Linked DNA regions of Schizosaccharomyces pombe. The protein of the gene in region 1 interacts with the protein of each later gene in a biochemical or structural test. Each region holds a gene or a part of one and is shown on either strand. Other genes may lie near its edges. The genes, in order: nep1, cul1, ned8 and cul4.

Region 1 (5,784 bases):
CTAGTATCTAGCAATACTCAATCTCTATCTACCAACTCAGCAATGACATCTTTATATCAAAACGCATCATCAGCAGATAATAATCTTGGCTCCTCTTTACCCAACGTTGTACCATTGAGTAGAGGATTAACACAGTCGAATGAAACGTCTAATACGTTTCCCGCTGCTTCATCTAATATATCTTCTCAGCTTCGTGAACTTCATACCAAAATTGATGAATTACGAGAAACGGTTTCTAACTTTCGTGCTGATTACAATAGTATACGTACATCTTTAAATCAGTTAGAAGCTGCAAGTGGTATTAATGAAAGGATACAAACTACTTCTGCTGATTCACTATTAAATTCCAATGGTATGAGTGGGACTGAAGGATTTGAGAATACGCAGACTTCCATTACAACGAACGACAATCAATCATCGATCTTAACCAGTTCAGATCAAACATCCCCATTTGCAACTGATGAAGATCGACAAAACTCACGAAATGTACAATTAGAAACTGTGGATGAAAATTTTTGAAATTTACTATCAAACTTTTTTGATAATAATGAACGACCTAAAAATAAAGAAGTGATAAGTCATTTACTAATAAATAAATAATTTCTCTTGTATAAACATTTTTCAATCAATAATTAAGCAAACGATTATTGCACTCGTGATAATAATAACATATTTGTAAACAGCAAAAGATTTAGCGACTGCTGATAAAAATTACACAACCATTCACATCACAAGATAGGATAAAACTCAGATTGTTTGAGTTGAAACAAGCCTTCCCGCTAGTTTGTATATTCGAAACTAAACAACGCAAGTGTAGCATCAAAAAGGGAAATCACCAGATACAAGTTCTTCCGGAGGAGTGAGAAAAGGATTATCAGTGCTATTATGAAATTTCGGTAACTCCCCCTTCGCTATATGACTGTTCATATGGACAGAAGGTAATGGCGTAGGCTCAATTTTGTCAATCGCAGATTTGTCAAGTTTCTCATCAGAGAGTAATGGCAAATGATCTTCTTTGTTGTTAGAAGGTGAAGGAACACGATCTTGTTTTTTTTCAGAAGGTGAAGGCACATGATCTTGTATCTTTTCAGAAGGTGAAGGCACATGATTCTGTTTCTTCTCAGCAGGAGAGGAAGGGTCATCGTCATGACTGTGATGATGATGGTGGTGATGATGGTGATGATGATGGCCTTCATGATGCAGGTCCTTATCGCTTTCATGGTTATTATGGTGATTAGTAGATCCTGACTCTGAAGACTTCTTCAAATTAGAGTTAGAGCTTTCATGTGATGTTTCAGATGAGTCGGATGATTTAGGTAGAACCGGGAGGGCAACATCGAGAAGAGGAAGGTGAGATTCTAAGTCAAAAAACACAGTGCCAGTAGGAAAGTCCTCGTCAAAATCGCCGCTTACCCTTGTCCCCAAGGAGTTAATTATATGGTCTAAGCAACGGCTCAACTGCTCCCGAATAGCTGTTACATCTGGCTGAAATGTAGACAAATTCCACATAGAGCTAGTGGGCATCGGTGAATGTAACAAACGCCGAACCAGTTCAAGGGTAAAAGCACAAACGTGTGCTCCACAATCATATCCATTTCTTTGTTGTTGTACGGGCATACACTCTATTGTAAATTTTTTTTTGAAAAGATCCGAAACACGGGCCAAGGCACTGCGACAATCTTTTGTCTTTCCGTTGCTGAGAGAATCATAATAGTAACATTGCCCATCAGGAATACTTGCGACCATTAAAGACCAGTGTGAACCTCCACTTCCTGCCGCATGTTTATCCAAATCATTGATAGGCATAAATAAATATTTGCAGTTCATTAACTTTTTAGGCAAAGCAACTTTGAGCTCTTCAGGAGAAATAGCAGCTTCTGCTAGTAGAAAAACTAACGAAGGGCGAAGCAGCAAAATTTCATTAGCTTGATTTGGGTATGAGGGAAACCATAGGTGCTCAATTAACTCGTCAACATAATCAATACTCACATCAGTGAACCTAGCTTGTATTAATTGAAAGATTCATTTCAGATGCACAAAGTAAAAGTAAAACATGTATCCAAATTTCCTTACCAGTTTGGCTTTTTTAAGCTATCCACGTCTTCCTGCTTAAAACACACATCAAATACTTAATAGCACAAGTTAGTTTTTATTCAGCAAACTTAAACGCTTCTAGACAGAGATTTCACAATATATGTGTAAACTTACATTCAAGAACGGTTGGAGAACTGCTCATTTAAAAATTGTTTAAAAGTAAGTACGAAATGGGGAAAAAAAGGAATTTAAACAAACAATAGGTCCGCAAACAAAACAGCTCGAACGGAAGAGTAACACGAGTGTTAAAATAAAATGTTTATTTTATCGGGTTAAAACAAACAAAAAAATCACGAGAATTGAAAGCGGAACCAGAGACCGGGAATACAGCGTTCCTATACCAAACAGAAGTAAGGCTCAATAAACAAACAGGATTGGACGGCTTAATTAAAATAAAAAAAAACAACTGCAGAGTAGGCGGCAGAAATAAACAAATTGCAACGTGAAGAGAAAGGAACAAATGGAACAGGGATAGCGGAGTAAGCTAAGGACTTTGATCATAGCGGACCTTTACAACAGCCTTAACTTAAACAAGGAACCAAAGCACAATATACCGTAAGCGTTGTAAGCATCGTAAAGTAGAATACCGAATACAAAAGTAGCATGCAATTTCCAAATTCCAAAAACCTTATTGCAAGTCAGATAATCCGAATGTAATAAATGAGAATTTCATGAAACGGCATGTTTTGAGATAAAAACATTAAATAAGAGACAAAGGAGAAATAGCATATACAAGTACAAAATTTAAAGGCCACTTGAAAATTCAGAAACTAGTCGTATCCACATTGACACAGCAGAATGAAATATATATATATACAGACAAAAGGCACCAAGGTAACTTTTCCAAGTTTTAAATAATCAGATTAAATATTTTCAACAGAAAATAAAGATAAATAGATGGAAGCAAAAAAAAATTTGGAGGACCAAACACAGTAGTAAATTTAACCAATTGAGTGAGAAGAGAGTAACCTTCGATCCATTATGGGCCGACGTGGCTGTTCATCTTGTTGATTTTGTTGCGGAGTATGGGAAATGGGAGATTCAATAGAGCATGAAACATCGGTAGGGTTGTAATTCTGCCCATTTTGCCGATACCATGAAAGTAGAAGATCACCGTATGCTTGAAGGTCCTCCAAAGATATAAAAAGATTGAAATCATTAAACACAAAAAAAGATAACTCCAGATGATTTAATTCGTGCAAGGGAATACCACCAACTTTTGCATAGCGACTGTTAGTATAGAAGACATCGCTGAAAAATTTGCTTGCGGCCGTAAACCCAGCGATTAAGAAACGATGAATATTAAAGCTGTTGATAAAGACAGTGAAATGAAAATGATGAACAATTCTGTCAAGGTAAATCAAAACACTTAAAAATACATCGTTAGTTGCAGGACAGTACTTTAAGATTCGTGTTAGATAAGCCTGAATAGATATGGAAGGCACATTTTTTGCAGAAAATATCAAACAAGGGTTCTTTAAACTTGTTGGAGATAATGGTATTTGATCTGATTCAGTAGCTTCCTGCTTGCTATCGTTCAAACGCGTTAGACGCGAGAGAAACACAGATATCATTTCCAAGAGCTTTTCTTGATTAAAAGAAGAAAGCTCCAAGTGTTCTTCATCTTCATCTGTGTTATCTTTTGAGGTTAAAAGCGTAAACGCCAAGGACATAGGACTATTATAAAAATGTTTGGTAAATGGACGAATACGTCTTTACTGTCTGTGACGCCAATCCTAGACTTTAAGTTATTGCGAAATCTTGCGTGTTCTTGTCAACCGGAATACAACGTTGCGTGCACTTATTTAGATCGCTAATTTTTTATGAAGCACTAGTGAAATGTAACAAACTCGACTGTAAACATTGCAGATTAAATCACGAGCGTTTCTTCATAGTACTTTTTCTTGATTCAAGTAGATAGATGAATGTAAAAGGATTAATAAATTAACTTTTTATATCTCAATTTAAAATCCGTATTATTCGCAAGAATCAGTTTAGTTGATTCAAAATCGATTAATTTTTAAAAAAAAGAGTTATGATTCAAATATACAGGAAGCAATACAGTTTTACTAGGAGTCCAGAGCTATTGTTACGAAAATTCTAAGGCTAAATGGGATTTAAATCAAAGTATATAATCGGGTTGGCCTGCGCACCAAGTAGATAATATTTACAAAGACTGTAGTAATATAGCGTTTATATTGAAAGACGGCTGTAATCTGCCAAAAAAAAGAAATCAAAGAAAAAAAGCAAAAGCATTACGATAGTGATTTTCATCTATGTAAAAAGTCAAGTCCTAAAAGCAACGAGATTGGAATTTAAAACGAAAAAGTTTAATGGTTTTAGCTGAGTTTTGTCGTTTTTCTCTAACTATTTAGGGATAAGGGAAGAGAGGATTCAAAAATTTCTTAATAATCCAAATGTATAAATGATGAGATATATAAATCCAAAGTATTAAACTTCGTTTTCATTTTAATTTTACTTTTTCGTTTCCTTCATAAAACTGCTGAAGATACTAATTCTCAAAATTTTGAGTTTACAATAACAAGGTTAGTCACTTTAGTTTATATTAATGATAAACAACAAATATTCATACTTTTTCCAGTGTATAATCATAATAAATCCCCATTTTGGCCAACATGAACAAAAAAAAGTCAGTATGATTCAACCAGATGGGCTGGAAGAGATAACTTGAATAGTAAGATCCTGTAAAGGCTACTCAAATCAATGTTTAGTATGTTGTCTTTCAAATTAGAAGAAAAATTGCTATCATCGTAGGCTATGCATATCCCGTTTATGCCAATTTCTACAGTCAGATTACATTCAAACAATTAACTTTAACACAGTTTACATCATCTGAAATAACAATTCATTTTGGTAGTATAATTTGAGATACAATCACTAATAGGAAAAATTATGGAGGATGGAAGTATTAAGCCTTTATTTTTGAATAATCACTCATTTCAGAAACATGCAACCAGTCCTATAAAATACCTTATTTTTGCAATCAAATTCTTTAAATAACTCGATCAAATTTAACCGTATCCGAAGACATGGCTTTACCAACGCTTGTTGTTCAATTAATGTAAAAAGTGAGACTTGGGTCTAGATATTTTACCATATATGGAGTGCACACAGTATGAGCTAGATTTGGCGTGCAATATATCTCCATTTGTTTGATAATAACAAAAATCACTCTTCCTTCATCTTCAAAAGACTGTTAAATAGCCAAGTACCAACTTATTCGGGTTTTCCACCAGGAATCAACTAGATAGTTAGTGTACAAAAATTCCTTTATTATTTTCATTGACATACCATGCACATCCCATTTCCGTTCAAAAGCATTTCAGAGTGTTTTTCGGTAACGCCGGTAACAGTATCACTTCATAGAAATTAGCAAAGATAATTAAAGTTATTATATTTCATACTATTCTGTAACATCTTTTAGAACAATATTCACATAATCATCGAATCCAACAAGTGTCCCCGCAAATTCGCGTTCACTTTTCATGATCACCCATAAGTTTGATCCAATGCATTTATCAATTAATTCTGCTTGTTAGCATGAACAGATTTACCCAGGGCATAAATCAATAATTTTTCCCTTTTCTTATTATGAAACTAATTTAGAATGTACTAATAAATCTACATACCTAAAGGTAAAATTGTCATCGACATGGTGGAGGTGGATTG
Region 2 (6,719 bases), on another chromosome or scaffold:
TTTCCCTGCGATGAGCTCTTTCACGCTCCTCATCCTCAAATCGCTTTCTGATTATAGTCCGTACAACATTTTCAAAAGCTCTACGCTCTTGCAGTTGCTCCAAATAATACTCTTGCAAACGAGCCTCTTGTTCCCGTTCATGCAAGTATTGACGGAATTTTCGATGTTGAATTTGCTGGAGCACTTCTTGCCTTGCATCCTCAATTGCCTTCTTTCGCAAAGCCAATTGTTCTTCTTGGCGTTGAATCACTTCGATTTGTTGATTCAGCTCTTCTAAGGCCATTTGAAGGCTGTGGTCTTGCACATTTTGATATTCATTACCATGTACATCTATAAGATGAAATAAAGTCGCCATTATGCTACGATTCTCTTCCTAGTATTTTTTTTCAGAACGATATGTCAAGGAAGATGGTGTGTTGAAGAAGAATGAGCGAACCGCGATGTTTACTCATTTATGTCATACTATGGTGTTGGCACCGGAATGTACCGGAATCATCCATTTCATCCATGAACACTCCAGCAACACCTGGAAGTAGTAAATCAATAAAAACGTTAAAATTGCCTTAATTAGTCTGATCAATTAATTTTTTTTAATTTGTAAGCACCATTTCGTTCTTCGTGCTGAATAATCAATATATGTCTTTTTTAACAGAATCAAGCGATTTGCAGAGGAAGACGAAGACGACAATTGACAATAAATGTATTATATAAAACATATCTTTGACATCCTTTCACAATTTCAAGCATCTGTACTTCGTGAAATGGTGCATGTATGTGGTCGATAACTGTTTTCTTTTCTTTTTCATTGTACGACTTATCCACGTAAAATGATGGGATAATAGAAGTTTGTTGTTGCTATCCAGTAACTAGTAGTAAAAAAAAGTTGCATAGCTTGCATGTAGCTAAGCTACACATTTCTTCAATGGAGTGGTGACTTTCCTACGTTATTAAAAGCTTAGTTTCAATGGATTAAAGATCACTAGCAGACAAGAATGTAAACAAAAGAAAAAAGAAAATTCGTATTGCGTGATTAATTACATATATAACACTCGAAAAGTATATCATTTTTTTTGGAGCATTTCGCGGAGATGTTTCTCTCAAGCAAGGTAAATGTATTCATCGCGGCCTTGGCGTTCCAGGTACTCTTTTTCGATTAACATATCTATACATTGCTTAATATCAGACACTTTAGGAGTAAATCTGCTTTTAATTTGATCAATAGTCTCTTTCACTAACACTACATGTTTCAATGTTCGGCGAGCCTTCATGATACGGACGATAGCGGATTGAAGCAGTAACTTTCGATCTTCTTCTATAGTTTTATGAGTCTCCAGAGATTCCTGCTTTTGCTCAGATCTAATTGGGAGATTTAACTGTACCCGTATCTTTTTCATCCTAAAATTTTCATTGATCTTATATGTGCTATTAGGATCACCAAGCTTGTCATTGTCGCCAAGGAGAAGCACCTTTGCTTTTAGGAATATGTTCAGAATCCCTGTCAAGAAATCTGTACTTAACCCAGTTATTTTTGCCAGCTCCTCATATGTATAAGAATCGCGATGGTTGTACAAAAGCAAAACACCCATTTGATATGTAGAAACTTGAAACACATAAGTGACATTAGTTTGAGGGTTAATGCGTGCCTTTATTTCTCCTTTAGAGAGATGGAACAACCAGCTTAACTTCCTTCCGTTATGGCAGCTATAGTAATAGTTTTGGAATCCTTCATACAAAGGAACTAATTCCTCTGGCAGATGAAAGTTCACATTGTTGGGAGATAGAGGCCAAAACGATGTACCAAGTACAAGAGCAGAGAAATCTATATTTCCAGCACGTGACTGAGGGAGTTGCCAAAACGCTTCGGTAATCTCTTGAGACAAGGAGATGTCTTGAAACATACGCTGTAGCTTACTAGTATATTCAAAACCGCAGACTTCCTTTAACTTAGATAGCATGCTAGATTCAGCATCCTGGGAATTAGAGGTACCATTCACAAGTCGCTTGGCTAAAAGCTTAGTATAAAAGTTTTGAAAAACATCCTTGTCTTCGACATAACGAAAAATAATGATAATCGACGATAAACAGTCTTCAACATCATCAATGTCAACATTCTTGTTGCTTTTTCGCAAAATACTGTCGGCGTATTTAGCAAGCAACTCTGGGGAGCGAGAGGAAGAGCGCTGGCAAACAACATTTCGATTGACAAGTTCTCTAAAGGCTGTATCCAATGACTTTGTAAAATCAGTATCCCCATGAAATGCGGTGTTAACAAGTTCTTTGGAAGCTTTATACGTGGAAAGTAACATTTCCATATACTCTTTAGGATCCACATCGGCTTCTCCACCGACCTGGGGAACAATTTTGGCAACCGCAGCAAAGCCTGATCTCTTGACAAACTCCTCAAATGTCTGGCGTAAAGGCTGCAACCCATTAGGTGTTCGAGACATCAATCGGTACATGCGAATGATATCCTCACTGCAGTTTTGGTCGAGCATGCGTGCAAAGTCGTTGTGCAAAACTTCTTCATGTTGTGCAATTAGTACATCTTCAGTCGCTTCTAAAAGCGGCTTCAATGTGGATTCATGCAAATATAATCTCACAAGCTCTTCCTCCTCTGCTAGTCTTATTTCTGCCTTTTTTAAGTAATCCGTAATAGAATGGGAAGCCAAGTATTCGGAAGACTCCTTTGCATAAAAGTTTTTTGTATTTTCAATAAAGTTTGTTTCGAAAAAAGTTTTGTATGAGCTCAAGTTAGGCTTTGTCATATCGGTTTTATCAAAGCTCAATGAAGTGATAGAATCCACACAAACTTCCACATATTTCATATCAGTAGGTTCATATAATCTTTTTTTGGTGAACATGTATAACAAATTTTGAAGTAGGCTATCGCGAATGTGGGAAAAAACGTGATGATGCCATGACACAAGACAAAGTGTGTAAATGTCGTACACGAGTGTCTCAGTAAATCTGTTCTTCAGTTTAACCCAATATCTATTTAAATATCCAAAAAGATGGTTGATAAAACGGGCAGATGTTGTAAATCGCGTCCAATACTTGGCATACGCAGCGAGTTGCTCTTCATGATTCGTTTGCGAAATGCATTCCTAAAGCGCCAATTAGCACGAGAAAAATTACCACATAATGCAATTTATTCCTTAATCATAATAAAAGACCAGATGCTTATGCTAGCACTCTTTAAAATGTCCAGAGAAAATGTTTAGAAATTAAAGAAAACTGCTGAACACTCGAGGTGCAATGAAATCTTTGTCGTAGAATTATAAATAAAAAACCGATATTTAAACTCACCTTTCGCAGACGGGCCAAATACTCTTCCAGATATAGAACCAAATTATTGTAAAGGGCTTCGCCTAAAACGTTTGCAGCTAGCACATACAGTTAGAATCCAGTGAAAATAATCATAAGAAAATATATGTAGTTCTTCTTTTTGACAAATTCTGAGTCAAAATATAAATTTTTATCTATTTTTTACGTACTTTGATCGTTGAAATTGTCCACCGTTATAGTTTTGGACGCATCAGCACAGTAGTTATGGATTGCTCTAAAAATAAAGTATGTAAGTATATAAATATAGGTGCCATGAAATATCTGATAACTAATATACTAGTATTCAGATCTCAAAATATTGGACTAACTTACGTATAAAGCTCCATATACTTAGTGATAGTCATTCCTTCATCTAGCCTTTCAAATATTTGGGACACACCTGTTTTTAAAAAGTCCCAACTGCATATAGATCAGCAATCGTCAATCAGTTACAATGTAACATACGTTCCATTCAATGAATCATATTTTTTAACAATCGGGAGGTCTTTATCGTTGGTATTCAAAGTAGTCATTAACCAAAATGGTTATAAATGTATAACAAGTAAAATATATTTTATTCAGCACACAATTGCTCTTTCTTAGATGGCAGATAGAGTAAACGTAGTAAATAGTAGCACTGATCCTTTCAAGAACCTACAGGTAACGACGAAGTGAACGAAGGTACAAGAGGTAGCCAGGTGTACGTAGCAAAAGCTCATTATAAAAGTGCTTTATAAGATTATATTTAATATCTAATTTTTTTTTAAGTAAATAATTATTATATTAAAAAATTCTTCATTAACGCATTTATTATTATGAAAACAAAGACATAAAGCCAATATTTATCAACATATACATGAATATGCCAAAGAAATCCTTTAAATTTGAGTTATTGTTCTGCCAAAAGAATGATGTATGCGATCCGCTGGATATTGAGTGCTCGATGCAAATACACATATGGTGTAAAAGATATCTCTGACAAGTGTATAGTAATATTGTACTAAATGAAAATCTCAAACCCATGAAATATTTACAAATGTTGAAAAGGGTTTAATTTGGACCTCAAATAGGTTGACATTTTCAATGTGGCCAACATAACAGGATGCTCTTTCATAGATGTTGTAAAACAGAAATACTTTTCCTTCTCTTTCTCAAACGCGCTACAAATTACCTCTTCATACCATCTTTTGAGCACCGCCATCTATTGTTTACCATCAGAGCCTCATCCTCAAACAATTCTGAGTGCCGTTAACGGTAGCCAATTCCTAAGTAAAATTGTCGCAAAATGTTGATGCATCAAAAGCGGCCTCAAATTGAACTTTTTATCATTTACCTACTAAAATAAAAGTAATAGAATGCGCTTGGATACGCACGTTTGGAGTCTGCTTTCTATATTCACTTAGGAACAGACGAATTATTATTAATTCTGAATAAGACCAAAAATTATTCTCAATTTCATAACTAATTAGCTTCCTCCTTTATCACTTAAACTTGCTTGCTTTATTTTTTTTATTTTTTTTTACAATTTAGGTGTTTTTATATTCGTAGAATGGCAATAATGAGTTGAAAACATTCCATTCTTCGCTAACCACCTTTCCCCCTTTAACGCGTGGCCAGCATTGTTCTACTTTGCTCACTTGACTATTTACTTACATATTTTTTTGTTTAGTATTCCAATACAATCAAAATATCTGTAATTTGTTGAGATTCTTTCTAAAAAACAAACATAATATCTGTTTCTCTCTTTTATTTGCTATTATATCCCATTTTCTCCGTTTTTATGAACCTTGAACCTTCAAGTTTCTATGTAATTATTCAATTTCAACATAAGAAACTCTGCAAAAAAGCTATTTACATCACTGCTTCGTCTTTTGAATTCCAAAATTTTTTCTAGAAACTATCCGCTCATCTTTTCTTTGCAATCCATCATCAATTTCCACACTAATAGTCAAGAGTGTTTATATACTGTGATATTAAGAGATATATTTTAAAGTAGTAATCCATAGTCATTATACAATCTTCTTATTATTTTAGGCCTTTCTTCTTTCTTTTGATTTCTCTCTCCATAATTTTATCTTAATCGACTTTTTCTCAGTTATCTTATTGGGGGAGGATAACTAACCTTTGTCTCCAGTATTTACTTAAAATTTCGTTATAAATAAGCTAGTTCAGCTTGTGCTATTCAAACCGCTGTCTTTCTGCTTTCCTGTTTTTTTCTGTAAACAAATCCTCTTTTTTCTCAAAAAAAAAAAAAAAAAAAGAAAATACTTGTTTTATGAACTGACCAAACTTTATTTCAAAAAAGTTACTTGGACTTTTAAGTCATTAATTTGGCTTTTGTTTTTAATTTTTTTTTCAACACTTGGAAGGTTAACTATCCATTTTAAAATCCTGTTCCTTTTATTAATCTGTAAAAAGAATACCTAGTTGTTCTTTCATTCAAGTCTTTTTAAACTTCCGCCGACTTTGCCTCGCTATTGTCCGCAAACAACCATTTGGAGTTTGCCTAGTCCTATATACTACCTTTCCGTATTTCCACCTTGGTGAGGTACACCAGCGTTCCAAAATCGCTACAAGTATTCATTCTTTTGTATTTATTTTTTAAATACTTTGTGCGTTTACGCGAAAAGTGCTTTCGAGCACTTTACAAGAAAAAGGAAAATTTTCAAGTGAATTAGCTTTCGTTCTCGAGATTGAGGCTCATCATCTTTTTCCTTTAGATTCTTTTTGTTTTTTGTTTAACGTTTTTTTTTTTTTTTTACTTGCTGGAAGTATTTTGAAGACTATTTGCTGTCACAACTCAGCGAAGACTTTTTGTGGTTACGTGTCTAAGCGCGAAATCTTCTTTAACTAAGCTTTCTTTTCATTCATTTTTGTTCTTCTTTCTTGGGATTTAACTGGTTTCGTTGGATTTATCATGTATAATGTACGTGGCGATTTAAATCGCAAAACCCCTTCGGATGGTAACGTGAATGAGATTGGTTCTATGTACGCTTCGAGAGACACCAGTACTTCTTCTTTCACAAATCCCACCGATTCCTCTACTCGTCTGTTGTACAACAATGCCTCCAACGCTACATTTAGCAGTGCAGCCTTGGCAGCCGGTGTCGGCGGAACAAGAGCTAGTGGCTATACCCATAGATTCTCTATTAGACCCAGCTCTCAGACATATAATAGATATCCTAACGGTGGAAATAGCGCAGGATCAGATATGTATTCTACCTCACCTCAAAACAATAGCATAGTTGATGATATTGAAAATATTAATAAACTGGAGGCTGTTGCTTTTGCCGGTCCTACCGCTGGTGAATCCGACTTTTCTTTGAGTAGAGAAGATAAAGAAATTGACGATTTTCTCCATTATCCTTTGCCCGCTAAAGATGCTAAAAAGTTAA
Region 3 (4,513 bases), 980 kb from region 1:
AAGTGCTTAGTTGCGATCATAAACATTACTCTTTAATACAATATTTTTTAAATTATTACAACATTAATTCAATAAAAAAAGATTAAAAATTTGGGAAACCAATAAAAAAAATTATAATTTAGCATCATTTTTCCCTCTTTATTATATTTTATTAGAATCCTTATTGGAAAATAGAAGCTTTCAAAAAATCTGTAGCCGAACAATTTGAGAGATTTTTTTTTTTTTTTTTTTTTTTTTAATAACTTTAAAAAACACCTAATGAAGTTTATAAATCCTTACCTTTGTTGATTAAACTAAAGTTACTTTAATTTGTTCTTAAATATACAGCCCAAAGATTTTTGGATGGATTTTTTGTACTCACGATTATAAAAACTAGTACTTCAATCTTAAGATTACATAAAACTTCGAAAATCCGGTTATCAGAATTAATTTGAAATTAAGAAAGAATATCATTTTTTTTTAATTTTTATAATAGTAATTTGGCTTTATGCAGACTATTTATAATTAAATGAATCTCTCTTGCTTTTAAATAGAGCAGTTCCTTAAAGCCGATGTCACTTTCTCATAAACAAAAAAAATTTAAAACTTCTTAAATAGAAAAATGAGAATCAATACATTGAAATGGCAATTTATAAGCATATTGATTATACTTTCCTCCTTAAAAATGTAATTTATATAGATTTACATGTATATTTCCTTTATATATGTTTAAGTGGCACCCCTATCAATGTGGCCGTTTGGTCTAGTGGTATGATACCATCTTAGGGTGATGGTGGTCGTGGGTTCGATTCCCACAACAGCCCATGTTTTTGCTACATAGCATTTTGCAGTTAGTTTTATTTAAACAACATTTTCTTTTAGTCTTACTAGAGATTTTGCGTTTATGGTAATTACATTCGATGTTGTACTGAGGAAGTTTTGCTTCGCATGCTACTGCTTTATATACTTTGATATCAGATGGGAATGCGCAAGCAATTGTTGTTATATATTGACTTTTCTGTGCAAAACGTCTCTTTACGACTACTTTACTCATAAATTAACAAGAAGTAATCAATCTTATCGCTGAAATTCATGATCACCAAAACGTCTTAAGTTTAGAAAAGCTTAAGCAATATTTTTATACAAATCAATAGATTCACATAAAATGAAACAGAGCAATAATAAAGCGACTCAATTCTCATTTCGTTACTCTTAGTATTAGTAAAACAGTAAAAAGATTTCGTTTATAGCGTTAAATAAAAGTATGATTTTTTATACATAATTTTTCTTTATAAATAAAGTATGCAACAACTAGCAACTTCCTCCACGAAGAGCTAACACAAGATGCAAGACGCTGCCTCCTTCTAAATGATAACTTTCAGCATTTTTATCATCAGCCCTACGTGATGTTTGTTAGAATCATTGTATGGATGTTCCCATAGTGCTTACATTTGCTTTCCAGCGTAGATCAGACGCTGCTGTGAAGGAGGGATACCCTCTTTTTCTTCAACCCGTTCTTTGATCCTAGAAACCTTGTCATTTGGATCAATGTCTAATTCGATCTTATATTTTGGTTAGAAACATAGATGAATTATAACTGCATATAAATGTTTTCAACATTTAAAACACGAACCTCTTTCCCTGTCAATGTCTATGATTATATATTAGTATACATAAAAAAGAAATAAATTTATCTTACTTTTACTTTGATAAGCATGCTAACTTTTATAAACGCTTTTCTGAAATTGTTGTGGTTAAACGCTAGCAGTTCCTCTCTCTCCCTATAAGCATTCCCCTCTGGCTCACCTCGCGAAAAATTGAATTGGTCTTCAAAGAGGGGACAATGAGTTTTCAGAGTATTAATATAGATAAATGGCTGTAAGTTTTCAATTCTAAAATAAAAATTTTAGGTTCTGCTACATGTTTAACCTGTTCAAAAATTTTTATTATCTAAATGATACCAGGATTTTGTCAAATCAACAATTTACAAGCACTAACATAAACTAGAAAGAACGCCGTAGCTGCTCAAGGATTTAAAAAAATGACACCCGTTCAGGCTAATGCCATACCATTATTTTTGAAAAATAAAGATCTGGTAGTTGAAGCAGTAACGGGTTCAGGCAAGACTTTGGCCTATTTACTTCCTTGCTTCGATAAAGTCACTCGTAGAGATACGGACGAAACAGGTTTGGGTGCATTAATTGTTGCACCTACTCGTGAATTAGCTACACAGATATTCAATGTTACCAAAGAGCTTTTGGCGTACCAACCAGACTCTTTGGATGGAGGGAAAAAACTCGTTGCAGATATGTATATTGGGGGAAAGGGAACGCTCACGAATGATTTAGCTTCATTTCGGGAAAAAAACCCCTCAGTGGTGATTGGTACACCCGGTCGATTGAATGAAATGCTTTCTCATATATCCAGTAAGCATTTGGAAATACTAATATTAGACGAAGCTGATACCCTTATTGACATGGGATTTCAGCGTACATTACAATCCATTATATCTCAACTTCCGAAACAACGTCGAACTGGGTTGTTTAGCGCAACAATGAATGACACTGTGTCATCATTTTTAAAAATTGCTGGCCTTCGAAATAGCGTACGTGTTTCTGTGACAGTTACATCAAAAAAAATTGATACAAGAACACCGTCAAGTCTAGCTATACAATCTTTAGTGATTCCTCCCATATACAAAGTACAATGTATGATACATTTGCTTTGTACGATCGAATACGAAAAAGCAATTGTTTTTTTTTCTTCTTGTGCTTCTGTTGAATATTTTAACTCCCTTTTTCTCACTTATAAATTACCGTTTGAAATAGTAGCTTTGCATGGACAGCAAGTTCAGTCGAATCGATCACGTAATTTTGAAAAATTTAAGAAATCAAATAAAAAAACAGTTCTTTTTACAACTGACATTGCTTCCCGGGGTCTTGATATTCCAAATGTTGACTTTGTTCTTCAGCTCGACCCGCCTTTGGATCCGAAATCTTTTTCTCATAGATGCGGCAGAGCTGGTCGCGCTGGTCGAGCGGGTGTTGCAATAGTTTTGTTAAATGATGGAAGAGAAGAAGAATATGAGGAATTGTTAAGGGTTAGGAAGGTACCTATTACTCGTATAGACACTCCAATTGAAGCTTTAGATCTTTCACGACTTAAAGTATTAACCCACGAATTGAGAAAAATCGTATCCAAAGACAGAGATCTATATGATAAGGGATTAAGAGCGTTTGTTTCACATGTTCGTGCGTACACAAAACATCATGCGTCGTTTATTTTTCGTATCAAAGATTTGGATTTGGGACAGTTGGCCACGGCATACGCTTTATTACATCTTCCAAAAATGCCAGAGTTAAAAGACACCGAAATATCCGAAAATATTTTTAAAAAATTTGACATTGATTATGCAACCATACCATACCGTGATCAAGTACGCGAGCAGGCCAGACGACGCCGATTGGAAGTCGAAAAAACTGAACCCAAAAAATTAGCTCGGCCAGCAAAAATTAAGAACGAAGCTTGGTCCAAACAAAAGGAAGTAAAGGAGAAGCGTAACACCCGACGTGAAAAAAGGAAATCCAAGAAAGAATTTTTGAAGGCACAGAAAAACGAAGCTTCTAATAACCTGAAACAAGAAATAGTATCAAAAGCTGGAGCACAAGAAACGGAAAACGATGACTTAATAGATGAGGAATCGGATGCTTTATCTGAATTAGAAGAGGATTACCGACAGTTGAAAAAAAGCAAAAAAAGAAAAAATCAAGCATCCTTTGGATTTAGTATGTAGCAATGTATTTTTAGGGAATGGAAAAAAAAACGGGGTTTTGGAAATATAGGAAAGTCTTTTAGTATTTTTAAATATTTGAGAACTTGGAAGATTAATTGGAGTTGTTCAGCAAATATTAAGTTCTTATTCATCAGCATTTATTTTTGAATTACTGCATTTGTATATTTACTTTACATTTACAACGATTACTTAACAAATTTGTGAAAAATGCAATTAAGCGTTTATCTACACATAATTCTGCGATCAATTTGATATTTAAGAAGTAAAATACTTTAAGCAACTGAAGCAGTAGATACATTCAATAAATTTAGATTACATTTCCACAATTAATTCCAAATTTTTTTTACTAAAATCTGGTTAAGGATATCATATATATATTTTACTAATTACTTATAGTGCTGTCTACGGCCATACCTAGGCGAAAACACCAGTTCCCGTCTGATCACTGCAGTTAAGCGTCTGAGGGCCTCGTTAGTACTATGGTTGGAGACAACATGGGAATCCGGGGTGCTGTAGGCTATTCCTAACTTTTTGCTAGCCTTATTGCAATAAGGAGGTCAACTCAGTTATTTATTTGGACGAACCCAGCGCCTATTTCGATTACTATTGACAAACTACTTCTATTGGATCATTTATTTTGCGATTCTGAAATTTTTTATATGCTTTTGTATAAAAACACCATGTTTAAAAAATGCTACAACATTTAAGGAATCGTGCATCGATTGAAGTGCTAGGGAAAGC
Region 4 (6,466 bases), on another chromosome or scaffold:
ACAAACACAATCAAGGAAAGTTAAAAAAATTGTGGATATCAACTGTTTGCTTGAAAAGCCTTAAGAGGGGAGATTTTTAAAAGATGAAGAAATGGGTCTTTATTTTAACAACAAAGAAAATATATCAGGGGTAAAATAATATTCGGTCAGTTGAAGAAATGGATAGGATCAACAGAGGCCGCAAAGACTGAATAATTAAGTTGAGTTGGGAGGGGGTGGTTAAAGTGACTCCGAAGAGAAGCAAACTACAAAGAAAAAGAAAAAAAAATATAATAAACCAAGTACAACACTTACGGCGTACTCAGCTATGTAAGTGTGCTCCTTTTATACACTCGACGATTGCGCAGATAAGCGTCGATTTAATAAAACGTATTTTCCAAAGGCTGATATGATATCCTTGTAGGTAATCAATCAGTACAGCCAAATGGTAAAAAATGAGCGGTAGGTGTAATGGTAGTTGTCAAAGTCGGACAGGGTATTTTAACGACAATTTAATACACGAGCGAGACTATTTTGATAAATTGTACGGGCGGATCCGTTTGCGGACTTTTAATGATGACTCCCGTAACGCTGACGACATGTATCTGCACAGCGATTCATGGCCCGCCTCTGTGAAAGAGGGAGCGACCATTCAGCGATTCCAGCCGCGTCCGCTACAACATACCGGACATTGTTGTTTCTTGACTTCGATTAGCAATGTAAATAAATAGAGACGCTCAAAAACACCTACAAAACCGATAGTTTCAAAAACTCATATACAGTTGCTTCACCTCAAAAAAGGTTCTACCTTTAGTCATGGTCACAGGGGATTGTGGGGTGCAACTTTTTCACAAACTCTATGCATGCGCAGCGGCGTAACCGAAAATTCCCTCATTGCATCTAGAGGAGCCATGTCATTATAAAGAGACGTATAACGTGATCTAACACCAAGCTCGCAAAATCTGACAGCAAAAAATACCAACCGCGTTATCTAATAATACAGTAATACACTTTAGACAACGTTAATGAAGACAGGACGCGCGCGCATCGCTTTTGATTTGTGTTTAGTCTGTTAGAAGCATGCTGGGGTAGATGTGTAGGTGAGAAGCTAGGTTATATAATCAAAGAAGATCAAGCAAACTAGAATCAATGGTAAATTCCTTCTCGTTTTAACTATGTCACTCCATTCTTATGAGGGAATTCGTGACGGACAAAACAGAAGATACCGTTTATTTGCTTTCACCTAGAACTGATCAAGAAGCTTAGAGAATCAATAACGCTAAATGTCCCAATTTCCTACGCCAAATACTTCAACTTATTCAATTTATTGCTTACATAGGAGTGTTTTGATGTTGGTTCTGAATACATCCAAACAAACACGTGTTTCAGCTACATCTACATCAAGTAACACACACATCACTGTCACTTAGAGATGTAAATAATGAATAATATAAGAGGTGTTTATGGGCAGGAAAACCAAAATAGAATACCTTGGGCTTTACAAAATTAATTAGATTTATTAAATTTTTACTTTAGATTTTGTAAATAAAGGTGTTCTATAAGTGTGATAAGCAGCACCACATTCCATCCATGTTAATCCTTACATTGGAAAATGCGGTACTTAGCGCGAACACTTTCGTAGAAGGCAAAAATGCAAGGTACAATTTTAGAATGAACTTTGGAATTGTTCCTTTTCCAAACTGATTGGAGAGCAGTGCAGACTTCCTTGAATTGGTTTCCAGATTTCAATAGCATTACTTGACACGGACAGGTAAAGAGGTGTGTGTATGAACGACATATGAGAATAGAGAAAAAAAATCCACTGGAGATTCACCAGCAAATAACAAAAAGGATGGAAAAAGAATAAACATATAACCAGAAAAATTAAATTAAATCAATTAAAAAACAAATGCATACTCTATTAGGTGACATATGTATAAATATCATTATCCTCGCGTTCTAGATACTCTTTCTCTAGTAGTTTTTCAATGGCAGTTTTCACATCAGACACCAAGGGTATTCCCCGATCCTTAACATTGTTTATAACGTATTGAACTAAATCGTCATGCTTCATTTTTTCCTTTTGTTTCATTACTCGAACGATACTGGCTTGCAACTCAAACTGTCGATCTCTCACTACTTGTTCTTGAACATCAGAATTTTCTTGCCGCTCTTCCTTTAAATAAATTTGGTTAATTTTTACACGATATAACTTATCTGTAAACTTTTCATTAACATAAAACATGGTGTCTGGACTGGGTTTTTTGCTTTTGGGAACCATCACTAATGGCCGAATGCGAGCACAACTCAAGGACTGTAATGTACGAGTCAAATCGATATCAGAGAGCTCTGTAGATTTTTTCAAATCTTGATACGAAATCCCTTCTCCACCCAAACAATTGTTGAATTGAAGTAAGACACAGGCTTGGAAAAGCGATATACTTAGTTCCTTATTGCCCAGTGGAAATCGGGCTTTTACGATGCAATGTCCTAGCGAAGCGTACCAACTGATTTTTTTCCCAACCTGCTTTGAAAGGTAAAATTTTTCAAAACAATCCAAATCCTGTTGCATATCATCTGGAAGCCGGATATGTGATTCTGGATAAGAGGGCCAGTAAGCTTGGGACAAGACGTTAACATACAAATCTCTATGAAGGTTATGAGCAGCCTTTGAGTGACGAAAAGAAGAAGTAAATTCTTTTGAAATGTTAACGTCTCGAAACATACCCTCCAAAGAGTGAGTAAACTGACTACCGCAGGTTTTCTTAAGCATATCCAGAAGCATTAATTCATTTTGCGCACTTGCAGATTTATTAAGGAGAAGCCGTTTTGCAATGTCCAGCTTGTAATACGCCTCAAAGATATCTTTACTAGCGATGTAGCGGAAAAGATCCAAAATTTCCGAAAATACTTCTTTCAGAGGCTTACCCCCTGAAGCCTGTTCGCCAACTCGTAGCAAATAATCAATGTATTTTGCAATAAGCCTAGCTGGAGCTTCTCTTTGAGATCCCTTTGCCCCATTAATGAACGTCTCGAAGGCTTTTCGCATGGCATACGAAAGGGTTTCATCATGAAGGAAACTTTCATCCACCACGACTTGTAAGAATTTGTGGAACGATAACAGCTCTTGAACCAAAGTATCATCCTTTGATTCATCGTTAACGAGCTTGAAACCAACGTCCACTAAGCAATCCGACCAGGGCTGAATTAAATATTCGGTTTCATGATTGAATTGCAGTAATGCATACAGTAGTTTACAAGAATGGGCATCCCTTTTTTCAATGAACTGACTTATACCCTTTGTGAGTGTGTCAAGATGTGAAGTAATTAGACACCTTTGAACAGTCTCTCGAATGGACTTTTTATCGCGCACAATATCAAACTTTTCAACGTAGGCATCCTCCCGCTCAAGCGAACTCATCGCATATTCCAAGTACTCTTCCAAAGGCAGCTCTTGAATTTTTTGGCTAGACTCCGTATCATAAAAACGGCTTAGCATAACTAAGTACATGGGAACAAACACAGAGCTATACATTTCCGTGCGATGTAGCATTAACATCGCATCCTGTAAATAGGCGTGATCAGTGCTTTTAGAGCTATGTAAATTTTCAAAGCTTTGGAGAAGAGAGTTCAAAAAGGGAATTTGTATGTTTTTGACTGCCATCAACTTTTCACGAAAAAGTGACAGAGACAGCTCTTCGATTGTCGGGTAATCTGGATGGTGAGAAAGAAATGTTTTGTCCATGTAATAGAATATGTTTTGAACAATCTCGACTCTTTCCAACCATTTGTTCCAACACCCTACTACTACGGTGCATGCATTAGTGTCTGTTTCAGTCCCTTCAAGCTGTATAAAAGACTCCGCAGAATCCTTTAAAAGCTGGATTCCTGAAGACATATGATGTTGTAGGATGTTAAAGCACCGAGATGCTTGATCCGCTCTTGTTAAATTTTCGACTCCCGAATATAACTCTTGGTAACCTGTTTTTAAGCCTAAACCGGCCATCACTACTTGCAAAGCCATGTTCAAACGATCTATCATCGTCACATAGTAGGTCTCTTGTCTTTGCCTCGACTTTCGTGGGTCAAAGCCTTTAACCACGATACGTTTTGCTTCTGGAGGCATAGGTGTGCTAATGTGAAATAAAAAGTAATAAATAGATGTGTGGAAAGCCTGAGCTCTTTCACTACTATAGTTTCACCTGCAAAAACCAATTTTGTGCTCAAGTAGTGACGTTCAGAAAAGTCGGTTTAGAGCAGCACATATAGACAAGGTACGAAGTTCCTATTTCACTTTCAAGCTATTTTTTTGTGTCCATCTCACTAAATAAGCCTTTTTTTTCACTTTAGAAATTCTTCAGTTTTTTAGAGATTTTCAAGCTGCGACTCATTGCAATTAGCTAACTATTGTTTTCCATGTTTATCCTCCACTATCCACAACGAACGCCAGTTGTTGAAACAATTGGGTGCTTGAGTAAACTATTAGCTTCTCTATAGTTTCTATAAAGTTTTTTATTTGTCTTTTTGTTTATATAGGTTTGAAATTACAAGGTCAGGTTGACTTGGAAAGAGAATGGCATGGAGTCAAGTCGAGATTTCCAAACCACATCTAGCATATGCTATTATAGGAGGATTTACTTCATTATTTATGTTATGTTCTTTAATTATTAAGGAAAAGCTTTTTTTGGGCGAAGCAAGTAAGTTATTAGTGGTTGCAAAGCACAATTGTTTGATTTGCGTGTTGAAACGATACTTGAATTGTTTGATTTAGCTGGTAGTAATTCCAGATTATTCTTTCGGTTTACGTTCGTTAAATAAAGAGCGATCTCTAGATATTTCAGTGTGCATATTCCACCATATTATTTTTACTCTTCAATTCTTCATATATGTGAAGCATACTAACTTAATATAGCTATGGCAACTGCTACGGGTCTCATTTTTGGTCCTTACGTTGCAAAACTGTTTGTTCCCACCAGCTGGGGTAATACCGACTACATCACCGAGGAACTTGCTCGAGTCCTTTTAGTTGTCGAAGTTTTTGCAGCTGGCGCTGAACTTCCAAGAGCATATATGCTTCGACATTGGCGCAGTATGTTTGTTATGCTTTTGCCTGTTATGATTTTTGGATGGCTAGTAAGTACTGGCTTCATGTATGCTTTAATTCCCAGACTCTCTTTTCTGGAGTCATTAGCTATAGCGGCATGTATTACTGCGACAGATCCAGTGTTGGCTTCTTCTATTGTCGGTAAAGGTAAATTTGCACGTCGAGTCCCAGGTCATCTTAGGAACATGCTTTTGGCCGAATCTGGATGTAATGATGGCATGGCAATTCCTTTTCTGTATTTAGCTATTTATTTAATTATTGAGAAACCTGCCCGACATGCTGGCCGCGATTGGGTATGTATCATTATTTTATACGAATGCACCTTTGGCTGTGTGCTAGGTGCAATAATAGGTGTAATAGCCCGTAAGATGATTAAATTTTCGGAACGTCGAGGATTAATGGATCGTGAAAGTTTTCTTGTATTCTACTTCGTTTTAGCACTATTTTGTGGTGGTATTGGTACCATCATTGGTGTCGATGATTTGTTAGTTTCTTTTTGTGCTGGTGCTGCTTTCTCTTGGGACTCATGGTTTTCGAAAAAAACAGAAGAATCTCATGTTTCCAACGTTATCGACCTTCTTCTCAATCTTTCCTTTTTTGTATACGTGGGTGCTATCATGCCCTGGCCTCAATTTCACATGCCACATATGGATTTGAGTGTATGGCGACTCGTTGTATTGGCTATATGTATTTTAATTGCAAGGAGAATTCCTGCCGTTTTATTATTTAAATCATTTGTTCCTGATATTATCAATTGGCGAGAAGCTCTCTTTGCTGGTCATTTTGGTCCTATTGGTGTAGGTGCACTGTATACTTGTTTGGTTGCACGAGCCGAATTAGAAGTACATAGCACTGTACCTGAGCCTAATGATGCTATCGAAAACCCTGAAATTCCAAACTGGTATTGCATACAAGTAATGTGGCCAGTAGTTTGTTTCCTGGTTCTAAGTTCTATCATTGTTCATGGAAGCAGTATTGCATTTTTCATGCTTGGTAAAAGGATTAATACGTTGGCTTTGTCGTTTACGAGAACAAGGGACTCTCATTTTGCTTTTAACTTACCTCGTGTTCGTCAAGGACAAAGCTTACCAATTAAAAGAGTTGATGCGTTGCGCTCCTCTGCCAACTCTATTGCTTCTTCCATAAGAAGGCGTCATCCTGTAAACATTCAAGAAGATGAGGATGCTGATATATCAACTGTCTCGCTTCCTGAAGCCGCACATCTACGGGAAGAACGTGCTGAATCACCACGCGGAGGCCACTATGACGCTGAAGAATTTCCTTCTGAAGACTATGAATCTCGGCAACCTCGCCGCTCGAATGAGGAAGATAGAGAAGAAGAAATGAATCCTGGTGACGAGACATATCTTATTGGCGAAGACT

Evidence for each region.
Region 2: the proteins of nep1 (region 1) and cul1 form a complex in vitro, tested with the Schizosaccharomyces pombe proteins (one study listed by BioGRID).
Region 3: the proteins of nep1 (region 1) and ned8 form a complex in vitro, tested with the Schizosaccharomyces pombe proteins (one study listed by BioGRID).
Region 4: the proteins of nep1 (region 1) and cul4 form a complex in vitro, tested with the Schizosaccharomyces pombe proteins (one study listed by BioGRID).

Annotation. Positions count from the first base shown.
Region 1 is NC_003423.3:3,301,289-3,307,072, reverse strand, and holds nep1 (NEDD8 protease Nep1), read right to left. Parts: upstream 2,539-5,784; 5' UTR 2,237-2,538; coding exon 2,209-2,236; intron 2,129-2,208; coding exon 2,074-2,128; intron 2,000-2,073; coding exon 820-1,999; 3' UTR 520-819; downstream 1-519. Other genes in the region: synviolin family ubiquitin-protein ligase Hrd1, read left to right, coding at 1-519; psl1 (pho85 family cyclin), read right to left, coding at 3,036-3,767; U6 snRNP-associated protein Lsm5, read right to left, coding at 5,332-5,358, 5,407-5,473, 5,520-5,643, 5,745-5,769. UniProt on the Schizosaccharomyces pombe protein: Protease that catalyzes two essential functions in the NEDD8 pathway: processing of full-length NEDD8 to its mature form and deconjugation of NEDD8 from targeted proteins such as the pcu1, pcu2 and pcu4 cullins and other proteins.
Region 2 is NC_003424.3:3,609,262-3,615,980, reverse strand, and holds cul1 (cullin 1), read right to left. Parts: upstream 3,925-6,719; 5' UTR 3,858-3,924; coding exon 3,790-3,857; intron 3,745-3,789; coding exon 3,658-3,744; intron 3,560-3,657; coding exon 3,495-3,559; intron 3,384-3,494; coding exon 3,307-3,383; exon of another isoform or gene 3,105-3,306; coding exon 1,098-3,104; downstream 1-1,097. Other genes in the region: protein slt1, read right to left, coding at 1-355; ghs2 (glucosidase), read left to right, coding at 6,242-6,719. UniProt on the Schizosaccharomyces pombe protein: Core component of multiple cullin-RING-based SCF (SKP1-CUL1-F-box protein) E3 ubiquitin-protein ligase complexes, which mediate the ubiquitination of target proteins.
Region 3 is NC_003423.3:2,318,561-2,323,073, forward strand, and holds ned8 (ubiquitin-like protein modifier for cullin Ned8), read right to left. Parts: upstream 1,736-4,513; 5' UTR 1,697-1,735; coding exon 1,679-1,696; intron 1,631-1,678; coding exon 1,613-1,630; exon of another isoform or gene 1,542-1,612; coding exon 1,429-1,541; exon of another isoform or gene 1,379-1,428; coding exon 1,291-1,378; 3' UTR 1,198-1,290; downstream 1-1,197. Other genes in the region: ATP-dependent RNA helicase Spb4, read left to right, coding at 1,823-1,857, 1,987-3,772; SPOM_SPBC24C6.03 (proline--tRNA (Pro) ligase), read left to right, coding at 4,464-4,513.
Region 4 is NC_003424.3:3,450,695-3,457,160, reverse strand, and holds cul4 (CLRC complex subunit, cullin 4), read right to left. Parts: upstream 4,217-6,466; 5' UTR 4,106-4,216; coding exon 1,901-4,105; 3' UTR 1,414-1,900; downstream 1-1,413. UniProt on the Schizosaccharomyces pombe protein: Required, indirectly, for activation of ribonucleotide reductase through the degradation of the protein spd1, thereby supplying deoxyribonucleotides for DNA replication and repair. Also has a role as a scaffold for assembling ubiquitin ligases.